Linked DNA regions of Macaca fascicularis. The protein of the gene in region 2 interacts with the protein of the main gene of each other region in a biochemical or structural test. Links are inferred from orthologs where the notes say so. Each region holds a gene or a part of one and is shown on either strand. Other genes may lie near its edges. The genes, in order: MECP2 and PRPF40A.

What was found.
Region 1: the proteins of PRPF40A (region 2) and MECP2 form a complex in vitro, tested with the Homo sapiens proteins (2 studies listed by BioGRID, with this or other methods). The link is inferred for Macaca fascicularis from reciprocal best matches to the Homo sapiens genes PRPF40A and MECP2.

What each region holds. Positions count from the first base shown.
Region 1 is NC_088395.1:160,161,539-160,171,982, reverse strand, and holds the start of MECP2 (methyl-CpG-binding protein 2), read left to right. Parts: upstream 1-3,634; 5' UTR 3,635-3,667; coding exon 3,668-3,729; intron 3,730-6,833; coding exon 6,834-6,944; intron 6,945-9,030; exon of another isoform or gene 9,031-9,128; coding exon of another isoform or gene 9,129-9,154; intron 9,155-10,444. UniProt on the Homo sapiens protein: Chromosomal protein that binds to methylated DNA. It can bind specifically to a single methyl-CpG pair. It is not influenced by sequences flanking the methyl-CpGs.
Region 2 is NC_088386.1:48,174,906-48,184,765, forward strand, and holds part of PRPF40A (pre-mRNA-processing factor 40 homolog A), read right to left. Parts: intron 9,713-9,860; coding exon 9,338-9,712; intron 6,665-9,337; coding exon 6,556-6,664; intron 6,010-6,555; coding exon 5,945-6,009; intron 5,598-5,944; coding exon 5,433-5,597; intron 4,400-5,432; coding exon 4,291-4,399; intron 3,407-4,290; coding exon 3,256-3,406; intron 2,314-3,255; coding exon 2,180-2,313; intron 1-2,179.

The DNA.
Region 1 (10,444 bases), on a different chromosome or scaffold from region 2:
CTGAGATTACAGGCATGAGCCACCATGCCTGGTCAATTTTTTTTTTTTTTAAGAGACAGGGTCTTGCTTTGTTGCCCAGGCGAGAGTGCTGTGTGCAATCATAGCTCACTCCTGGGCTCAAGTGATCCTTCCACCTAAGCTTTCCAGGGAGCTGGGACTACAGGTGTGTGCCACTACGTCTGGCTAATATTTAAAATTTTTTATTTTGTAAAGACCAGGTCTTGCTTCTTGCTATGTTGCCCAGGCTTGTCTTGAACTCCAGTTCTCTGATTTTTTTTTTTTTTTTTTTTTTTTTTTTTTTTGAGACGGAGTCTCACGCTGTTGCCCAGGCTGGAGTGCAGTGGCGCGATCTCGGCTCACTGCAAGCTCCGCCTCCCGGGTTCCCGCCATTCTCCTGCCTCAGCCTCCTGAGTAGCTGGGACTACAGGCGCCCGCCACCGCGCCCGGCTAATTTTTTGTATTTTTAGTAGAGACGGGGTTTCACTGTGGTCTCGATCTCCTGACCTTGTGATCCGCCCGCCTCGGCCTCCCAAAGTGCTGGGATTACAGGCTTGAGCCACCGCGCCCGGCCTGATTTTTAAAAAAAATCATAAGTAGATGTTGAATTTTATCAAATGCTTTTTCTGCATCTATTGAAATAATTATGTGGTGTTTTTCCCCTTAAGTTTGTTAAGGTTGAGTTTCTAATTGTAAACCATATTTGCATTCTTAGGATAAAATTGAACTCGGTTGTGATAGATCATATACTGCAGGATTCAGTTTATTTGTCTAGAATTTTAAAACTTATTTCCACATCTTGTGTCATACTTTTCTTGGCTCATCATAGTAGATATATTAGTCTAGTAAAATAAGTTTGGAGACATTTATTTCTTTTCTGTGTATGATTGGCATTGCCTACTCATTAAAGATTTGGTAGAAGTCATCCGTAAAGCCCTCTTGGTCTGTTCTCTCTCTCTCTCTCTCTCTCTCTCTCTCTGTGTGTGTGTGTGTGTGTGTGTCTGTGTGTCTGTGTGTCTGTGTCTGTGCGTAGGGGGATGGGTAGGTTTTTAAATACATAGTCAATTTCATTGTGGTTACAGGGATTTTCTGTTTCTAGAGCTGGTTTTGGTAAGCTGTACTTTCCTAGGAATGTATTCCTTTTGCTTATGTTTTCAAATTTACTGACGCACGGTTCACAATAAAATCTTTCCATGAGTAATATAATTTACTTTTCTCTTTTCTTTTTATATCCAGCTTGTTAGAGGGTTGGCTCTTGTTTTTCAGCTTTTCAAAGAAGCAGGTTTAAAATTTTCTCAATCCTCTCCATCATTTGTTTCTATTTCATTAAGTTTTATTCATCCTTATTTTTCTTTCTTCTACTTTTGCAGGCTTACTCTGTCATTTTTTTATGGCTTCTTGAATTGGATGTTCAGCGTGATGACTTTTTGACTGCTTTAGCTGCATCTCTATACTTTAGCATCACACACCCAACGGCTTACTCAACATCTCCATTTTCACACCACTGGGCACCCCAAGCTTAATATAGCCAAAGCAGAACTCTTGATCTGCACCTCTGAAAATGTACTTTTCCTGTAGCTCTCCCCACCATGGTGAAAGGCACCCTTATTTCCCCAGTTGCTCAGGCCCCAATCTCAGGAATTATCCTTGTTTCTTTCCTTTCTCTGTGCCCTACATCCAGTCCTTTTGTTCAGTTTTGAAAACATATCTTGAATCTCACAACTTCTCAGAGCTGCACTGACTGCTACCACCCTAGTTAAAGCCACCATCATCTCTTTCTCCTAGACTGTTCTAGGGCCTCGCAACTAGCCTTGTGCTGTAGTTTTGTCCCATCATGTCCAGTTCTCCACTCTACACCTGCAACATACATCAGACAGCTCCTGGCTCAAAATCCTCTAAGGGCTTCTCATCTTAGAATAAACTCAGTTCTGGCCAGGTGCGGTGGCTCACACCTGTAGTCCCAGCACTTTGAGGTGGGCGGATCACCTGAACTCAGGAGTTTGAGACCAGTCTGGGCAACATGGTGAAACCCCATCTCTATCAAAAATACAAAAACTTAGCCAGGCGTGGTGAGCATCTGTGGTCCCAGCTACTTAGGACGCTGAGCAGGGAGGATCGCTTGAGCTCAGGGTGGAGGTTGCAGTGAGCCAAGATTGCACCACTGCACTGCAGCCTGGGCTACAGAATGAGACCCCATCCCCCACCCCCCCAAAAAAGAATGAACTCCCAGTTTTCATAGTGGCCCCGGCTGCCTTTCCAATCACATTCCCTACCACTCTCCAGCAACACTGACCTCCTTGTTAGTCCCCAACATGCCAGGCATAGTCTCTCCTCATGGCCTTTGAACTTGCCTGGAATGTTCTTTCCCCAGATATTCAAATGAGGGAGTAAAATGAGGATGAAAACCCATAGATACCTAAATAGCACCCCCTTTACTCTTACTCTATCTTTCTCAAAGCCCCTGTCACTATGTGAAATGATACATTATACTTATGTGTATGCTAGTATGAATCTTCCCGGCAAGAATCTTAGTATGCTGTCTGTTCAGTACCATGCATCCAGAGCCTGGAAGAGTGCCTGGCACATAGCAGGTAGTCAATAAATGAATGGGGGCAGGCAGCCAAATCAGAATCAGGTTTTCTTGCTAAGCATAGAACTAACAGAAGGATCACTGAATGGATTGGATAATGACTGGCATCAGGGTAAGGTCCCCTTAACAAACACTCCTGTCCTGAACACCTGGTTAGCTAACACTTTTCTCATATTTTCCCAAAACACAATTGCTGGATCTCAGCTCCAAATCCATTTTTCTAGGAAAGTGAACAATTGCTGGATCTCAGCTCCCAAATCACATCTTTCAGGCAGAGCTAACATTGCCCCTTATTCACACCTCCACCAAACCATCTGATCCAACAATGACAGGTGTCACGAGGCCTTGGCATGCACTCTCTTCCCCCGCCAGAGTTCTGCGAAGGCCAGGGTTGGGATTTGTTGTCAGTTTATTCCCCACCCCTACGAGAACGTGACCACCGGGCAGGCTCAGATGAAATAATGCATTGAGTAGGCCTCTGAAACCAAGGCCCCTCAGCTGGGGCAACGTCAGGCTCCAGGGCGGGTAACTTTGCTGCTTCTGCTGAAAATGGTGATATTGAGAAACTGCGGGTGCAGTGAAACGCTTATTGCAGCGCACTCGGTGCATCTGTGGACAGAGGGTCAATCGCCCCTCAGGGCCGCGCAAACAGGCGTCCCGAGCCTGGGCCTTCACTTGCCCCAGCATCCGCAAGGGTCCATTAATCCTTAACATTCAAATTCCGCCCACTAAACCAGCCCCTCCGCGCCCAAGCCGCCTCTTTTCCCCAAACGTCGGCCGAAAGCAGCCAATCAACAGCTGGAGGGGACCGCCTCCTTTTCCCTGGCCGAAATGGACAAGAAATCTCGCCAATTGACGGCATCGCCGCTGTGACCGCCCCCCCGCCCCAGCCCGGCCATCACAGCCAATGGCGGGCGGGCTCGCAGCGGCGCCGGGGGCGGGGCGCGGGCGCGCAGGTGCAGCAGCGCGCGGGCCGGCCGGGAGGGCGGGGCGCGACGTCGACCGTGCGGGGTCCCGGCGTCGGCGGCGCGCGCGCTCCCTCCTCTCGGAGAGAGGGCTGTGGTAAAAGCCGTCCGGAAAATGGCCGCCGCCGCCGCCGCCGCGCCGAGCGGAGGAGGAGGAGGAGGCGAGGAGGAGAGACTGTGAGTGGGACCGCCGTGGCCGCGGGCGGGGACCCTTGCCGGGGGGCGGGGGTCAGGGGCGGGACGTGGCGCGGGAGGGGCCCGCGGGGTCGGACGACACGGCTGGCGGATGGCGTCCCTCCTCTCTACCCTCCCCCTCCCGCCGCCGCCGGTGGCGACTCTCCCTTCGGCCCGTCACCCGTGCTCGCGGGTGACCGTCCTCGGCGCGGCCTCCCTGGAGCCGCCTTCGCCTGACGCCCCTCTTCCTTCCGCCCTCGGCGCGCATCCCGGCCCCCGGCCCCGCGGGCGCCCCTGTCGCCGGGGCTTCGCCTGTCGGGGCTGCGCGCGCTCCTGCCCTGCTCGGGGCTTTGGGCCGCGGCGCCGTCGCGCGCCCGCGGCCCCGGCCTCTCCCTGGATCGCGCTCTCCCCTCTCCTCCCTCGCGCGCCCCCTCTCCCGTTACTTGGCCCCCCCCACCGGCGCGCGTGCGCACTTCGCCTCCCGTCGGGAGAGTGCGCCACAAGGGCTCCTGAGCTCTCACCCCCATCTCTGGGCTTTGCCTCCCCCTCCTTCTCGCCCATTCCATGAATTTCTGCCCCCCCACCCCCACGCGAGCGAGTAGGTCCACCGGCTCCTTTCCCCATCTAGCAGGAACAAGGAGGTGGGGATTATTGTCCACAAAAGGACTAGACATTGTGTTCTGGGTCCCACAACTCATCATAAAGAGGTGGTTATAGTTCCCATCAGGAGCCGTGAGTAGGGGACTGTGCGTCCAGCAGCACCCGAGGCTCTTCGGCGCCTGAGGCTCTAAGGTGCGAGCGTGTCCCCAGGGTGCTCAGAGGTTCTTTGGAGTGCTGTGGCCTCGGAATGTGAGCACCCTCCCATCTTACCCTCCCCTTCGCCGGCGATCTTCCAGTTACATAAGTGGAGTGGGACATAGTAGGTAACGGGCTCTCATCGCCCTGGAGCGCTCGGGATCACCGGTACCAGATGGAGCAAGTTCATCGCGACGCTGTGGCTCCTGTTCATTGTGCCTGAAAGGTTATTCTCTGTTCAGTTTGGTTATGACCGAATCACCCAAACTGAAACTCAGATGACTTTTATATGGCAGTGGCAATGTTTCTGTGGTTTTGCACTAAAGACTTAAGGTCATTATGAAGAGTTTAAAAGGATTGCTCTCGCAGGGGAGACCGTTTATGACATTGCTAAGTATGGACCCCAAGGGGGAAAAAGCTCATTCTGGAATTGCTCTGTGGCGGTGACTTCTGTTGTGAGTGTGTTCGGGTGTGGGTTGGTCACAGCAGAAATGGGCTCCACCACAAAATTGATATTCCTGACTCATGGTCAGACAGATGTGTGCTTCTGGTTATTTTTCCAGGAACAGGAATGGGCTCTGCCGAGCCTTGCACACGTTGTGTCTCTGCTGTGCGGGATCAGTACCCCAAACTGAGATAACAGGATCGAATTCATGGGTTGGTTGGTGATCCAGGAACCATACCTACTTGGATGTGATACTGAGTGACTTAGACGTTGTAGGACTCTCATAAGTTTTAGGCATTTTGTTATACTGTAAAAAGCATATACGGCCTCGGTAGTAACGTTGCACTAATAGGTAATTATTACTCTAGAGAATTTTGGGTTCCGTGGCTGGAATGTTCATCTGTATCTCAGCAATTTCAGTTAATAACCAGATTAAGCTGACCTCTTGAGTCTTTTGAAATCTGCTGGGTCCCTATAATAAGATAGGGTCTGGATTTTTTAATCTTTTGGGAATTTCCACCAAGGATTTAGGGAAATAGGCTTATTTATGGGCTTTTCAGGATTTCTATTTTAAATCCCAGTCAGGAAGTGTAGGAAGCACTTGCTTTTATTTTCTTACGTGAATATGTCAGAACCTTAAATCACCCAATCAATCTAGAAGTAGTACAATTGATTAAAATAAGTCACCACAGGTCACCCATTCGTGGCAGGTCAGCTAGGTGGCTGATCACTGGAATACAGTCATATCCCCAGGCAGACACAGGAGCCTCACTTGACGATCCCAAAGTTTGTACATCTGAGCTTGAGACATGACAAGTTGAGGTCTCTGCTTTGTTCTTCATAGTTGGCAGTTTGTCTCCTCGGGTTCCCCTCCAGTTAGCTGTTTATCATACACCTAGCCCTTTCAACAGTGCAGGCAGCTTCCATAGTATAGTTTTCTCTTCAAAGTGCCGGGTGGAGGGGTACCCCCCTTTCCATTGTCCTAATGGCTCCATAGGGCTTCCATACCAGCCCTTTCCAGTGTCCTAACAGCTCAAAGAAACCATCTATGACTTTCTTGTTAGCACTGGCCTATCACACCTTCCTATTGCCTGTTACTAAAATTTAACCTGGAATGCTTTAAGCTTAGAGTACTGGGTCTTTGTTTTACCCGATTGATAGGAGAGTGTCATACAGTCAGCAGAACTCCGACTTTTGTGCTGTTTAATACTTAGGTAGGTCTGGGGCAAGGCACAAACCACTGTGTATTCAAAGGGTTATGGTGCTTACATTCTGTGTGTATATGTTTGTAATTTCCAACCAGAGTCATTTCCCGTGCCTGCCCTGCCTCTGTGCAATCTCATCTAGTGGAGTAGGGAGGCAAGCTGTGGAGTTTGAAAAAAAAATAAACAAAAAAACTGGCTAGATGAGTTTAATAGGCTGTTACCCCCTCTGGAACATTCCTCCCATGTGGAGATGAAATGAGAAGTTCGTTTCTTTAACCTAAAATAAAGAACAACAGAGATAAAATTGTTAGTTCCTTATTGGAGCCTGGTTTCCACTGCTTTGGACTCTGCATGATAAATGACGTGTCCTAGAACCTGAAATATTTTATAAAGGGTAATATCTGCAGAAATCTTTTAATTAGCTAAAAGCAGTTTGTTCTCAAGCTGCCCGAGTTATCTTGGAGGAGGAGAGAATCACAGAAAATGTTTGATATTTCTAGTAACCAGTGTTTTCAGTGCATGGGGTAAAGCACACTCCTAGACTGGCCAGTCCCGAAGAGTGTGGCAGGACACCTGCTTGTTTTCCCTGCCCTCTACTATGGTGACATCCTTGCAGACCAGTCTTGCGTGGCTGGCAGACACAATCTCTTTTTCTTGGGTAGAGCATTATCACCGCTGCGATGGAAGGACCTTGTCCTCAGTGCCTCCATACCAGCCCTTTCCAGTGAAACTACTGCTGTCCGGGCAAGCCCTGTGCATGTGCATCATTCCGGGTAGGACAAGACATGAACAGGTCCCTCTTCTTTGGGCTTAAGTAGAAGTTGAGCTCTTCTGCTTTTATCTGTTTTCTTCTGCCTTTCTATTTCAAGAAACCTTCTCCTGTCAAAAGCTTGGTTCACATGCCATTGCTTAAATACTTCGATGGTATGTATGGTGTGTGGGATAACTGAGTGGGAGCCGGAATTGGGGGGTGGGCAGGGCATCCCCACCCCCACATCAAAGGGAGAATGACCATTTCGTTAGAGAATAAAAAGCCTGAGTCTTTATAACTTCTTCAAGCACACATATGCTGGGTCTGGTGGCGTGTGAATGTGTCCCCGCTGTGGTGTGTGGCTGTTTTGCAGTTCCTGTAGACACTGTAGTCTGGGCTCTCATTATTGCCTCTGAAGCTGACAGGACTAAACCTTAGTAAGGATGCACTTGTCTTCCTTGCCTAAGAGCTAGGGGTGTTTTATATATATATGAACTTTTTTCTTTATTAGATTTCACAAACTGCTCTCATTTTCTGGCTTCTTTCTTTCTTTTTTCTTTTCTTTCTTTCTTTTTTTTTTTTTTTTTTTTTTTTTGAGACAGTCTTGCTTTGTCGCCCAGGCTGGAGTGCAGTGGCACAATCTCAGCTCACTGCAACCTCTGCCTCCTGGATTCAAGCAGTTCTCTGCCTCAGCCTCCCAAGTAGCTGGGATTACGGGCACCCGTCACCACGTCTGGCTAATTTTTTTTTTGTTTGGTTTGGTTTTTTTTTTTTTTGGTCGAGACAGGGTTTCGCCATCTTGGCCAGGCTGGTCTTGAACTCCTGACCTTGTGATCCACCTGCCTCGGCCTCCCAAAGTGCAGGGATTACAGACGTGAGCCACCGCACCCAGCCTCTGTCTCTTTTCTTTTTGACATGAAATCTTAAGTTAATTATCTTAAACTTTAAGAACTAGAAGGATCCTTAGTCCAGCACCATCAGTTTGCAAACAAAAAAAAAACCTGTGTCCCTGAGAAGTTGTGACTTTTCCAGGGCCTCCTAGCCAGGATACCAGTTTGGTTTTTATTAGATAGCTAACCGAGTAATACTATTAACTTGACTTCTGGGGTTTCAAAGTATTCTATGACTTGACTGTTTAAGGGAATTATGAGGCCTCACTGAACCTCAAAAGATAATTTTAGATACCATCCTGTTAGCTATAGAGCAGCAAAAGAGCAGTAAAAGACTTGGTTGGTGTTGCCCTTCTTCCGGGTTTGATTACATGAGTAATTGTGTGGATGGTCTCTAAGTTGTATGCTCTGAGCTTTTGTTTTTAGCTTATAAAAGTGCTACTTTTGGGCCAGCATAGTATCAGAAATTAGGTAATTAATATGGGGCAGTTTAGGCTTTAACAAGGAAATGATGGTTATCTTAATGACAGAAATGGTACTGACAAAAGTCCTTTTTTGAACATGTGTTCAAAAGCAAAAGAGAAACTATCAAACTGATAACTCAGTTTGTTAAATAGTGAGATTGACTGATCTGAGAGGCTTAAAACTGATTGCCCTGAAATAGACTTGCATGTTTTGGATGATGGCTTTGGGTCTCCCAGAGCACTTGGTTTCCCATGGTGCTGATTTTTTCTCTCAGGATTAAAGCCCCTTTATGTGATGTTGTTACAGCAGCTCATTGCAACTTCATTCAGCTGCTTGCAAAAGAAGGGAGACTGCCTCTAGGTTCCATGTGTTCTTTCAGGGATGGTATTTTGATGTTGCATATTCTCTTGAATATGTATTCTTCCCTGAGAATTTCTGTGTGACGTGGTGGAAGAAATACTGGCCAGAAATCACCATTCATGGTATGCTTTTGTACTGTCGAAGTGTCCCCTAGAGGTGACAAGACTTGTGATAGTGTTGATTCTAACAAGCATGAGTCTTTCCTCTATTTTAGCACTGTGTGTTACTTACGTGCCAGTAATTTGCAGTTTATCCTTTGTTTCTAGCTAGGTAAGCTGGGAAATAGCATAGTACTTTGTCTGTGTGTTTATCTTCAAAATGTCCCAAATAGCCCTGGGAAAAAGGTCGTGCAGCTCAATGGGGGCTTTCAACTTACAATTTTCTTTGTTTTAGGCTCCATAAAAATACAGACTCACCAGTTCCTGCTTTGATGTGACATGTGACTCCCCAGAATACACCTTGCTTCTGTAGACCAGCTCCAACAGGATTCCATGGTAGCTGGGATGTTAGGGCTCAGGTAAGTAACCTTCCTTTTTTTTTTTTTAGTATATGTCCTGGTTTGGCCATCTGTTTTTTTTTTTTAAAAAAAAAAAAAAAAAAAGGAAAAAAGGAAAAAAATATACTACTCTTGGACAGTATAAAAGTACCCCAAAGACTAAAGACATAACTGTGCCAAACTGTGCCATATAATAAAAAAAAGTCACTTCCCTGAGCCCTGAAAGGTCAGTGTGGGTAGGGTTACCTGGTCGCTACAGCGAGATCTGGGGGCGGGCGTCAGATTAGAGCCGGAACTGGTGATCTGCAACTTCAGTTCACCTTGAAGCAGGTCAGCTGAGCTGAGAGCGCTTGCACTGAGCCCTTCTGCGCTGCTGCTGTTGCCTTAGCGGTCTTCAGCATGTGTTTACTTCGGTTTGGAGTAAATGCTTTAGTGGTCAGCGTTAGTGAGCAGTGGTAATGCATTTTCAGATATGGGAACTGGTATATGGTTGGTTCCCTAGAAGGACACCCTCCTGAAAGCTGTCTCAGAACACCGGGGGCCATGACTAATAAATATCATGTGCTTGCCACACTCCTCCCATGGTAACTAAAGAGAGTACCCAGATATACATCTGTTCTTGAGACTCTAGAGGAGGATGAGTAATTTGTAAAAAGCTGGGGGCCCAAGTCATTCTAGGTCTGACACTCAGGTGCTGTATCAGCTGCAGTTTGAACTAGTTGGCACCATTGTGTGGACTTTAGTTTTGTAAAAATGAATGGTTCCTTCAGGCTCAACATCTCAAGCTGTTTGTTGTTGTTGTTGTTTGTTTGTTTTTGTTTTTGTTTTTTGATTAGTGGTCACTCCACATTTGATGTTTTGACGTGTGGATTTCAGAACTTCTGTGTGGTAAAGCCGAATGTTCCAATTGAATTTTCCCTTTCTTTTCCCCCTAAGCAAAAATGTGGGTTTTCACATATACAGCCATTGTGATTCCAACTGAGACCCTAAGTCATACTTTGTTGTGTCTCTCTTGTGGTTTCTGACACCTCAGTGTGAAGCTGTTGTAGACATCCATAAGAAATAGCCTGCTTAGGAATTATGTGAGGGCAAGGTTTGGCTGAAGGAGAATAGAAGGTGTGGAAGGAAGGAAGAGCATCACACTCCTCAAGTCCCAAATTTGATTCTGCTCCTGATCCTGTGACTCAAATTGTCATTCTCCTTTACTGCTGTGGGGTGTGCTCTGGGCCCGACTGACAGGACATTCTTTGTACTCCACGTATTTATGCTGGTGGGAGTTGTATGGCTAGTGCTTTGTGCTTTGTCTCAGAA
Region 2 (9,860 bases):
AATGAACACTAAATAAAAATAGTCATCATCATAACCATAAGTACTGAGATGCTCTCCATTAATTATATTTTATTGTCTAATGCCAATCTTCTCTTTTAATTCATTTCACTAAAGTCTTAAATAAATCTTTTGAAGTAGCAGAACAGGAAAATTACCAGGCTGAATATCTGAAAGAATATTAATATAACATACTTAACACCAATTTTATTAGTAGTAATCAGAAACTATGCTAGACACATAGCAATCTGATTCAAAGCCACATTTAGGCTTATTTGCGGAACCGTGCAGACTTTACATCAAAATTTCGCCTCATAGTCTCCACCTTCAGTATTGTTTACGTTATAGTCTCATATTTTCTATGACCCAGATTTCCATCTTATTTTCACTGTATTATTATTTTTTCACATATGTCTCCTTATTTTAAACCACTGCAAAACCTTCACCAGAGACGTTAAAGCTTAGGTTGTGGAAGAGTGTATAATAGTCCTCCTAAATATCTGTCCTCCCCTTCTTCCTGGGCACATGGCTGCTTAGCTAAAAGCTAAGTTTTCTAGCCTCCTTTGTGTAGCTAGTTGTGGCCATGTGACTAAATTCTCAGCAACTGAACCCAAATGAAGGAGGTGAGCAGAGCTTCTAAACCATTAGCTTTAAAAAAGAACTGTTCTTTCGACTTTTTCCAAGTTAAAATGTGAAATGGGGGCAGCATACCCCTAACTCTGCAGAGAAGGTTAACACGCTAGGGCAATGCTTCTCAAAGTATGGTCCAACAGTATCGATACCACCTGGAAATTTAGAAATGTAAATTTTCAGACTACAACCCAGACTTACTAATTCAAATTCTTCAGGTAAGGCCAAACAATTTGTGTTTTTAACCATTGTAGAATATGATAGTCTAGGAAGTCACTAAGATAAAGAAACCCATCAAGAGTAGTAAATGTTAAGTTTTCATTGAATAAGGACCGAAATCATTCTACTGGCTGTGGCGTTTAAGATGGTTAGTAACCTTTGGCATAGTGGGAATAATTTTTTTTTTTTTTTTTGAGACAGGATCTCGCTCTTTCGCACAGTCTAGAGTGCAATGGCGCCATCACAGCTCACTGCAGTCTTGACCTCCTGGGCTCAGGTTCTCCCATCTCAGCCTCCTGAGTAGCTGGGGCTACAGGCGTGCACCACCACACCCAGCTAATTATTATTATTATTTTTGTATTTTTAGTAGGGAGCGGGTTTCATCATGTTGCCCAGGCTGGTCTTGAACTTCTGGACTCAAGCAATTGCCAGCCTCAGCCTCCCAAAGTGCTGGGATTATGGGCATGAGCCACTGTGCCCAGCCAGAAGAAATTTTTAAAAAGTCCTCTACGTCATTCTAATACACACTGAATTTTGAGAACCTCTGCCTTAGGGGATGGCAATATGCCCTGCCCTAGACCAAAAAGACTGTTATTTCAAGAAAAAAACTTAAAATTTAAGCCATTGTAACCTAGCATTCACCCTAATACAATGGTTAATGGAAGAGACCCTGTAATCAAAACTGCATAGATTCAAATTCTGGCTTCACTATTCAGCAACTGTTGAACTTGGGCAAGTCACTTCACCTCTTCATTTCCTTAGTTATATAAACTTATGTAACAAAAACAGTAAGTACCCTTATAAGATAAGACTGTCATAAAAATTGAGATTGTAAACATAAATTGTATTGACAGTAAGCAATCAAAGAACATTAGCTATTACAATTATTATTGAAATGGGTGAGATATGAAATGCAAAAAATTCATTGCTCCATGATATTTTCTATCTCTGAAAATAAAAATGATACTTGAAGATGAAAATAAACTACTAGCTGAAAAACATGCAATCCCAGGTCCTTTTTTTAGTGTTTAAGAAATTATGGCCCATCCCCAAACTATACCCTAGCAGTCCCTTTGTCCTCTAGAAACTAAGTATCATCTACTACTGACTCACCACACATATCTTGTTTCCAGTCATCTCTCCTGTTGTTTTCCCCAACCGAAACCTCATTTATCAATGTTCATCTGTAGAACTTAAAGAGTTAAATGTGTATGAGTCCTCACAAAGCCTAAGTCTATGATCTGGGAACAGTTGTCTCAAAATTCTTTATATTACTGTTCAAGTTCTGTAAGTATAATATAAAACTAAGCTAGAAAAGAGCTTTTTCTTTTACCTGGAAAGATTCCCTATTTTTTCGCTGTCGTCTCCTTTCTCTTAGCAAACTCTTCTGTTTTTCTTCTTCTTCTTCCTTTTCTAAAGCCCGAATGTGTTCTTCAAAGCAAATTAATGCATCTTCTTTGTCCATATCTAAAGTATTTGCCAGTTAAAATTTAAAGTGTCAAATGTCAACAAGTAGTTTATTTGCATTAGATCCCCCAAAATTTCAAAATCACCTGTCAAAAATACTTTTAGCTAGGCTAGGGTGAGGTGGCTCATGCCTGTAATCTCAACACTTTGGAAGGCTGAGGTGGGAGGACTGCTTGAGCCCAGGAGTTCAAGACTAGCCTAGGCAACACAGCAAGACCCCGTCTCTAAACAAACAAACAAACTTGTATTTAAACTCAATATGATTTGTAATCATCTGCATAGGAAAGTTTTAAGGAAAATTTCACAAAGAACTCAATAAAAGGCACACTGAAACATGTCATAGGATAAAACAAAGGACGTGCATATGGCAAAACTAATGAAAATAAAAGTGTTATGATAAAATCTGTTTGCAATATCATAATTATTCCAAGAGCTTAGTATAGAACTGTGCACCCTATAAAAAAAATCTACTGAAGCATGACTTTTAGAGAGGTAGCTGAGAAAGCTATAATTTAAAAAGCAATTGGTTAACTCAGAAAGAATACTTAGGGAAGCCTAATGTAAGATAATTCTAATACATTTTCTTCTTTTTACAAATCTGTAATGTTATTACCTCAAAAAAACACGAGTAAAATGCGGTAATTCATTTAGTTCTTACCAAGTTACATACAAATGGCTAAGCATGATTTCAAATTTGACCTATAATTTAAATATTTCAAGTATTACCTGATAAAGCTACTTTAAATTTGAAAAAACATTTTGTCATGAATCACAAACTCAATCAGAAAGAAATATCCTATTTGGAAATAAATAAAACACTTTTTCAGAAATGAACCAACAACTGCATAAAATTCAGTTAGTTATCTCATATAAAAAGTGAAAATAATTCTTCGCTGCTGGAGGACACTATTTAAAACTATTTCTCTTAGCCATTATTCTTACTTTGTAACTCCTCATCTTCTGCAAAAGTTGGATTATCCATCAGATACTGCTGGGCTTCAGACCAAGTGGTAGAGTACGTTACATTAGCCATGTTGTCAAGTATGTTTTTTAAGGCTTCCCAATTTCTCTTTCGCAACTGCTTTGCTTGTTCCTATAGCAGAAGTATGAATATATATGTTTCAAAGTTCCAAGAAATTAAGATACTTAAATTGCAATTAGTGAAGGCTTTATATTCTAATGGATGACCAAATTTCAAAGGTTAAATCAAATTTCAAGTAAATTTCATTTACTTTAAATGGCCACACTGCTGACTTTGCTTGCTCTTGCCTAAGCACTTGGCTTTGGTACTTAGCTTCACATTTTCCACCTCCTTCTAAAAGCTAGAATCTGGAAACCATGTTTTCAGCTTTTCCCCCATACATTCCCCACTACATAAACCTTTCTACCACTAAGCATTACAGACAAAAACTAAGGTTACCATGGACAAGTCACATTGCAGGTAAATGCTAAAGTCTTCAATGACCTTCAGCTATGTTTAAATTTGATAATACTTGCATCTATGTGTTCCTTGAAAACTAAAAAGCATAAAATATAATAGTGCACAATGAAAAAGAGACAGGAGTGAAATAGGTATTTTAAAATGTTATAAGTTTTGTAGAAACAACTGCACACTGCTGTCATTCTTGTACCAATCATGTTTGTTATAAGCAAAAAAACCCAGCATTTTTAAACCTAATGAGCAAAAAAGGTACCTTCTTTTTCAAAGTGAGTGTTTAAGATAGCCAATTAATGACAATACAAATAGCTGAATTACCCACTGAGTCTACATCAGTACTTAATACGCTACATGAATGATAAAGAAGCTTATTATAGAAGTTACACATTCCATCTTTAAATGTTACTTCCAATAAATAATCTGCTATACCACATAAACTGGATAAACTAAGCCACAAAAACGTACACATTTTAAAACCAATCTTCCTGAGAATGAGGAAACATCTTGTGTTATCTATAAATACCAGTAACTAAGAATACCTTTTCTTTTTTTGAAAGAAAGAACAAAACATCTTCGTAGATTTCAAGACGATCACGTTCTGATATTGCATTCCAAACTTCCATCTCTCCAAACATTTGCTCTGCTTTTCTATGTTAAAAAATTATATTATACAATAAAAATTAATCTTAACCAATTTTTAAACTAAATTTAAAACTACAAAATGAATACTTTCTATTCGAAGTTCATAAAAATATTAAAGGCATAGCACATGCCTCCCTCTCTCGTTAGAGATAGAGGGGATAATTCACATTAGGCACTGCTTATAGTCTAGACTACCTCTGTATCTAGTGGCAGCCACACAAGACTACCAAACTGCTGACAGAACTAAATTACAGACTTCTCTGGAATACTGAGGAAAACAAAGAAGTACATACAGAAAATAGGCTTAATAACATATCGAAAAACTTTTAACATTATCCACAATTTTACATAAGCAATCTAAAATGAAGAATGCTATATAAAACAATTATCCAAAATGCTATGCCTACGTAATGAAAACCGCCTCTTTTTACTCCACAAAGATCAATAATGTCAATGTTTTTAAGTAAAAGGCAATCAAATTTGATTTTTCTTTTCTGTTTTTTGTTTGTTTGTTTTTTGAGACAGGGTCTCGCTGTCACCCTGGAGTGCAGTGGTGCAATTATGGCTCACTGTAGCCTTCCCAGGCTCAAGTGATTTTTCTACCTCAGCCTCCCAAGGAGCTGGGACTACAGGCACGTGCCACCATGCTTGGCTAATTTTTGTATTTTTCTTTTTTTCCCCTATAAACAAGGTTTTACTATGTTGCCAAGGCTGGTCTTGAACTCCTGGGCTCAAGCCATCTGCTTGCCTTGGCCTCACAAATAGTAGGGATTATAGGTGTGAGCCACCACGTCTAGCCTCCAACTTGATTATTGAATTCAATCTTTCTCCCCTTCTTCCAGTCTCTAAAAAACTTAGTAAGTCTACAAGTTAAATTCTACATTTAACTACAGATTTATTTGGTACCTCATGAAGCTTCCACATTCATAATTATCTAGTTTTATTTAATGAGCTCTGGATCAGCTACTGCACATGGCAAAAAAGTACGACACAAACAACAATGTAGTAAATATAGGCCATGCAACATTCAACATCTTACTTGTATCTGGTTGTAGAAGTCATTTTCTCATGATTTTCAAGAAAACGCTGAAAGGATTCCTTAGCCTCTTTGTACTTTGATCTTGCTTCTTCTTTTTCTTCTTTTTCTGTCTGGACTTTATAGGCATTAAAGGCTTGCTTTTTTTCACTTAACTTTGCCAAAGCACTAATATAAAAATACCATATAAGAGTAGACACAGGCAGAAGAATCAAATATTAGTGATTTGATAAAAATAAAATTGTTTACATATATAAATTTTAAAAATTTCAAAAATTTATTAAAGACAAGAAATGATTGGAGAAAGTAATTTCTACTTTTAAAATAATTATTATTTTATATGTAGCAGGGTAAATTGTTTGACTGACTTTTTGGTTATTAGACATAAAACAACTCTATACTTGGTATCCTAAACAGATGTCAACAGAGTTAAATGTTTTCTCTTTCTATACAACTTTAAATGTGTTAGGCTTGCTATGCTCAAACTGAAAAGTAAAAAAAAGCTGAAGTATTACCTGTATCGTGGATCATTAATAATCATTTTCATGGCTTGCTCCCATGAAGCATTTGATGGTACCCGCTGAAAATCATTTAAATGAAAAATTAAAATTTCACACAAGAAGAGTTTAAGTCACATAACAGGAACCAAGTATAATACTCACTGCAAATATCAAGCATTTCCATTTGCAGGAGTTTGAACAAGTTTTAAAAAAATAGTTTTTTATTGAAGGCAAATCTGTGTAATACACCTATGAACTAAAATGAAAACTTTAACTGAAATTTAAATAGAGCATAAATGCTTTTTTCTTAGACTACTGATAAAAGATAATTATTATGAATTTTAAAACCCCTTACATTAAATATTGGGTAGAAATGTGCTTGTGTAATACCTTGTACACAATAGTTTTTGTGTTGAAAGTCAGTTTCACAAGTGTTCTTCAAAAAAAAAAAACAAGACACATTTAGTTGCTTTTCAGTTCAACAGTTCATGAGACTGGTATTATCAATACCATCAAAGTTTAAAGAGTAACGTCATTTATTGGGTAAATATTATGCATCACATAAAAATCTGTAATATATACGTGATGTCAAAAAGTTAAACAATAAAAATCTGCAATATTAATACCTTTTCTTTCAATAATTCTTTAAAAGCTTGCTTTGCCTCCTCCTTTGTATTCCAAGTGTATGTTTTCTTTGCTGGTTGGCTCTCCTCCTCTTCCTTTTTGGGAGTAAAACTAGAGAGAAATTCAAATGTGGTATTTATGAATTAAATAAATTTTTGTTTCATTTAGAAAAATAATGCCTAAACTGTTTAAATGTTTGATGTTGAATTAAAATTTGACATTTAGGATAAAAGCTATATGAACTCTAAAAAACACACTTATCTGAAGACAAAGAAATAAAGATAATAGTTTCATAAAACTTCAGTTATTAAATCAGTTTTTAAGACCCTGGACAAATGACAAAATAAACGTTTAACTGACTTAAGACACTAGCTCCTCTGGCCCACAGGTTAATAGTTTTAAATGGCTTATTAAACTCATTCACTGGTTCCACATTAGTGCTGCAATAACTCTAAGGATTTGGGCAAGGGTGAAGATTAATAAGATGTAAGGATCAATCTAAATCAGGATTGACAAACTACAACCCACTAGTCAAATTCAGCCTATTAATTTTTGTAATTCTAGTTTTACTTGAAAATGCCCATGTTCATTTGTTTACAGATTGTTTATCGCTGACTGTGCTACCACAGCTGATTTGAGTCACTATATAAAGACTATATGACACAAATAACCCAAAAATATTTCCAATCTGATATTTCATGAAAAAGTGTGCTGAATACTGATGTCAAACAAAAATTAATACTACCCAGAATCACTAACTTGTTTAATAATTGGGGGTCTTCCTGACAAGAAAAAATTGTATAAGCCTTACATTTCTTTCTACATAATAAGGGAATGTATGGGGTGGGGGTCGGGGGATGAAAAAAAAATACTTTAAGTAGAATGCTGACGCAAACAGACACTGTAGTAGATACTGACAAAAAATGATCTCTATTATAGTAATTAAAATCAAAAGCATATTATAATGACTCAGGCACTATAGCAAGGAAATGTCGGAATGAAAAAAGCAGGGAACAACTATTTAATGTTAAACTTATGGAAAACATTATTGATGAAACGTTTCAGTACGACAAGATGCAAAATAAAATTATTCCAAAAAGCCTAAGTATCTACGGATAGGGGAGCACTTCCATTCATGCACAATCAAATGATAGTAACCCATCACTAGACATGATGGGTCCACATTTCTATCAATGTGGAAGATGTCTCTGATATATTAGATATATATTCATGTATCTTAAATGTAGAGAAAATGTTAATTTCATTTTCATGCCTTCAAATACGCCATACGGATTTCTTTTAAAACGTTTTAAGCATCAGAAAAGGTTATCAATCTATTTTGACTTTGGGAAACTAACATACGAACAACAAAAGAACACTTAAAATAAGGGATGGATGGATGAAGGCAACACGCTTAAATATTAAGATGGATAATCATGTTTGGATAATGAGCTTACGGTTAACTATTTTTTTTAAAAAAACATGAGGGCACCCTTAAAGTCAAGAAATTTAGCTTGATCTCACTTTCTAAAGCTCTATAAAGCACAGCCATATAAACTGTACTAGACTACAGGTTATGCAAGTACACACAAACTGTGAACTCTTGACAGATACAGCTTTGTTTTATTAAAAAGTTGTATTACTTTAGTCTAAGAGTGAAATGAGAGTTTTCTTATATCTGGTGTTATCTTTTAAATGTTTCTCTACTTGATTTTCACTTAGAAAAATAATCACAATATTATTTTAACTTGTATTTCTTTATTATTATGGCTGAATGGCTTTTCATATACTTCCTAGACAACTTTCTTTCTCTGTAAATTGCCTTTTTTCCTTGGCCAGGTAGAAAAATCCCAGCATTCTGGGAGGCTGAGGCAGGCCAATGAGCTAGGCATGGTGCATGTGCCTGCAGTCCCAGCTACTCAGGAGGAGACTGAGGTGGCAGAATCGCTTGAGCCCAGGAGGTCGAGGATGCAGTGAGCCCTGATCACGCCACTGCATTCCAGCCTGGATGACAGAGGGAGACCCTGTGTCAAAAAAAAGAAAAAAAAAGGGTGGCCTTGCTCTCTCACCCAGGCTGGAGTGCGGCGGTATAATCATAGCTCACTGCAGCCTTGAACTCCTAGGCTCAGTGACCCTCCTGCCTCAGCCTCCCCAGTAGTTGAGGTTAAAAGTGCTGGCTGATTTTTAAATTTTTTGTAGAGAGAGGGTCTTGCTATGTTGCCCAAGTTGACATTAAACTCTTGGCCTCAAATGATCCTCCTGCCTGGTCCTCCCAAAGTGCTGGGATTACAGGTGTGAGCCACCATGCCTAGCCATAAACTGCTTTTTCCCCCCCCATAATTCCTTTTTCTACAAAGCTGTATTTTTAAAACTGATTTATAGGAGGCTGAAACCCAAAACACCAATAACCAAAGAAGAAACAGTACACCTATCTTAACTGAAAATATTGAGTCTGTTAATCATGAATTTCTGCACTGCTCTCATGTAAAATATTGCATCAAGATATGATGTATCTTGCTTACTAAGGTTTTTGGCAATCTTTCAGATTTGTGCCCCAACTCCCCAGCCTTGGCTCTACTTGTTAAAATTTCAGCGAACTAAAAATTTCAAGTTTGCTGGCATAACCCTCCAAAATTCAGCCTGAAAACTGATCAACTATCTTAACGGCTTGATATTACGATTCTCAAAAAAATTTATTTAAACAATTTATGGCCACTAAACTGGCAACTACTTTTATTAATGAAATCTGGTACTGATTTTTAGAAGACAAGTTACTAAACTTACTCAGCTACAGTTTCTTGCTTAGATGTTTCTTCTCCAGTATTACTGGATACTTCCACACTTTGATCCTGAATAGCAGGGGTACTAGTAAGTTGTGCTTGTTCCTCAGTTGAAATAGTTACTGTATTCTCATTATCTACAACAGTAGCAACAATGGAAGTAACTTCAGGCTCAGGAACAACTGGAACAGTTCCACTGACAGTATTAGAAGTAGAAGTGGAAGCATTAGCATTGGCTGCAGCTGCTGCAGCTGCTGCTGCTGCTGCAGCTGCAACAACAGCAGCTGCTGCTTCTGCAGCAGCCATGGTGCTCATTGTGGTCGGAATTTCTGTTGTAGGGACTGGGGCTGTTGATGTTGTGGTGCACTCTTCTTGCTTACTATACATTAAAAAAAGAGAACACTGGTCATTTCATTATTGTAATCAGAAAGCTAAATAAAGCTAGCTTTAAAATTGGCATAAAATCAAATAATAAGAAATAATTGAAGGAAAAAACAGCAAGAAATGCCAAACCCATTAAAAAAGAT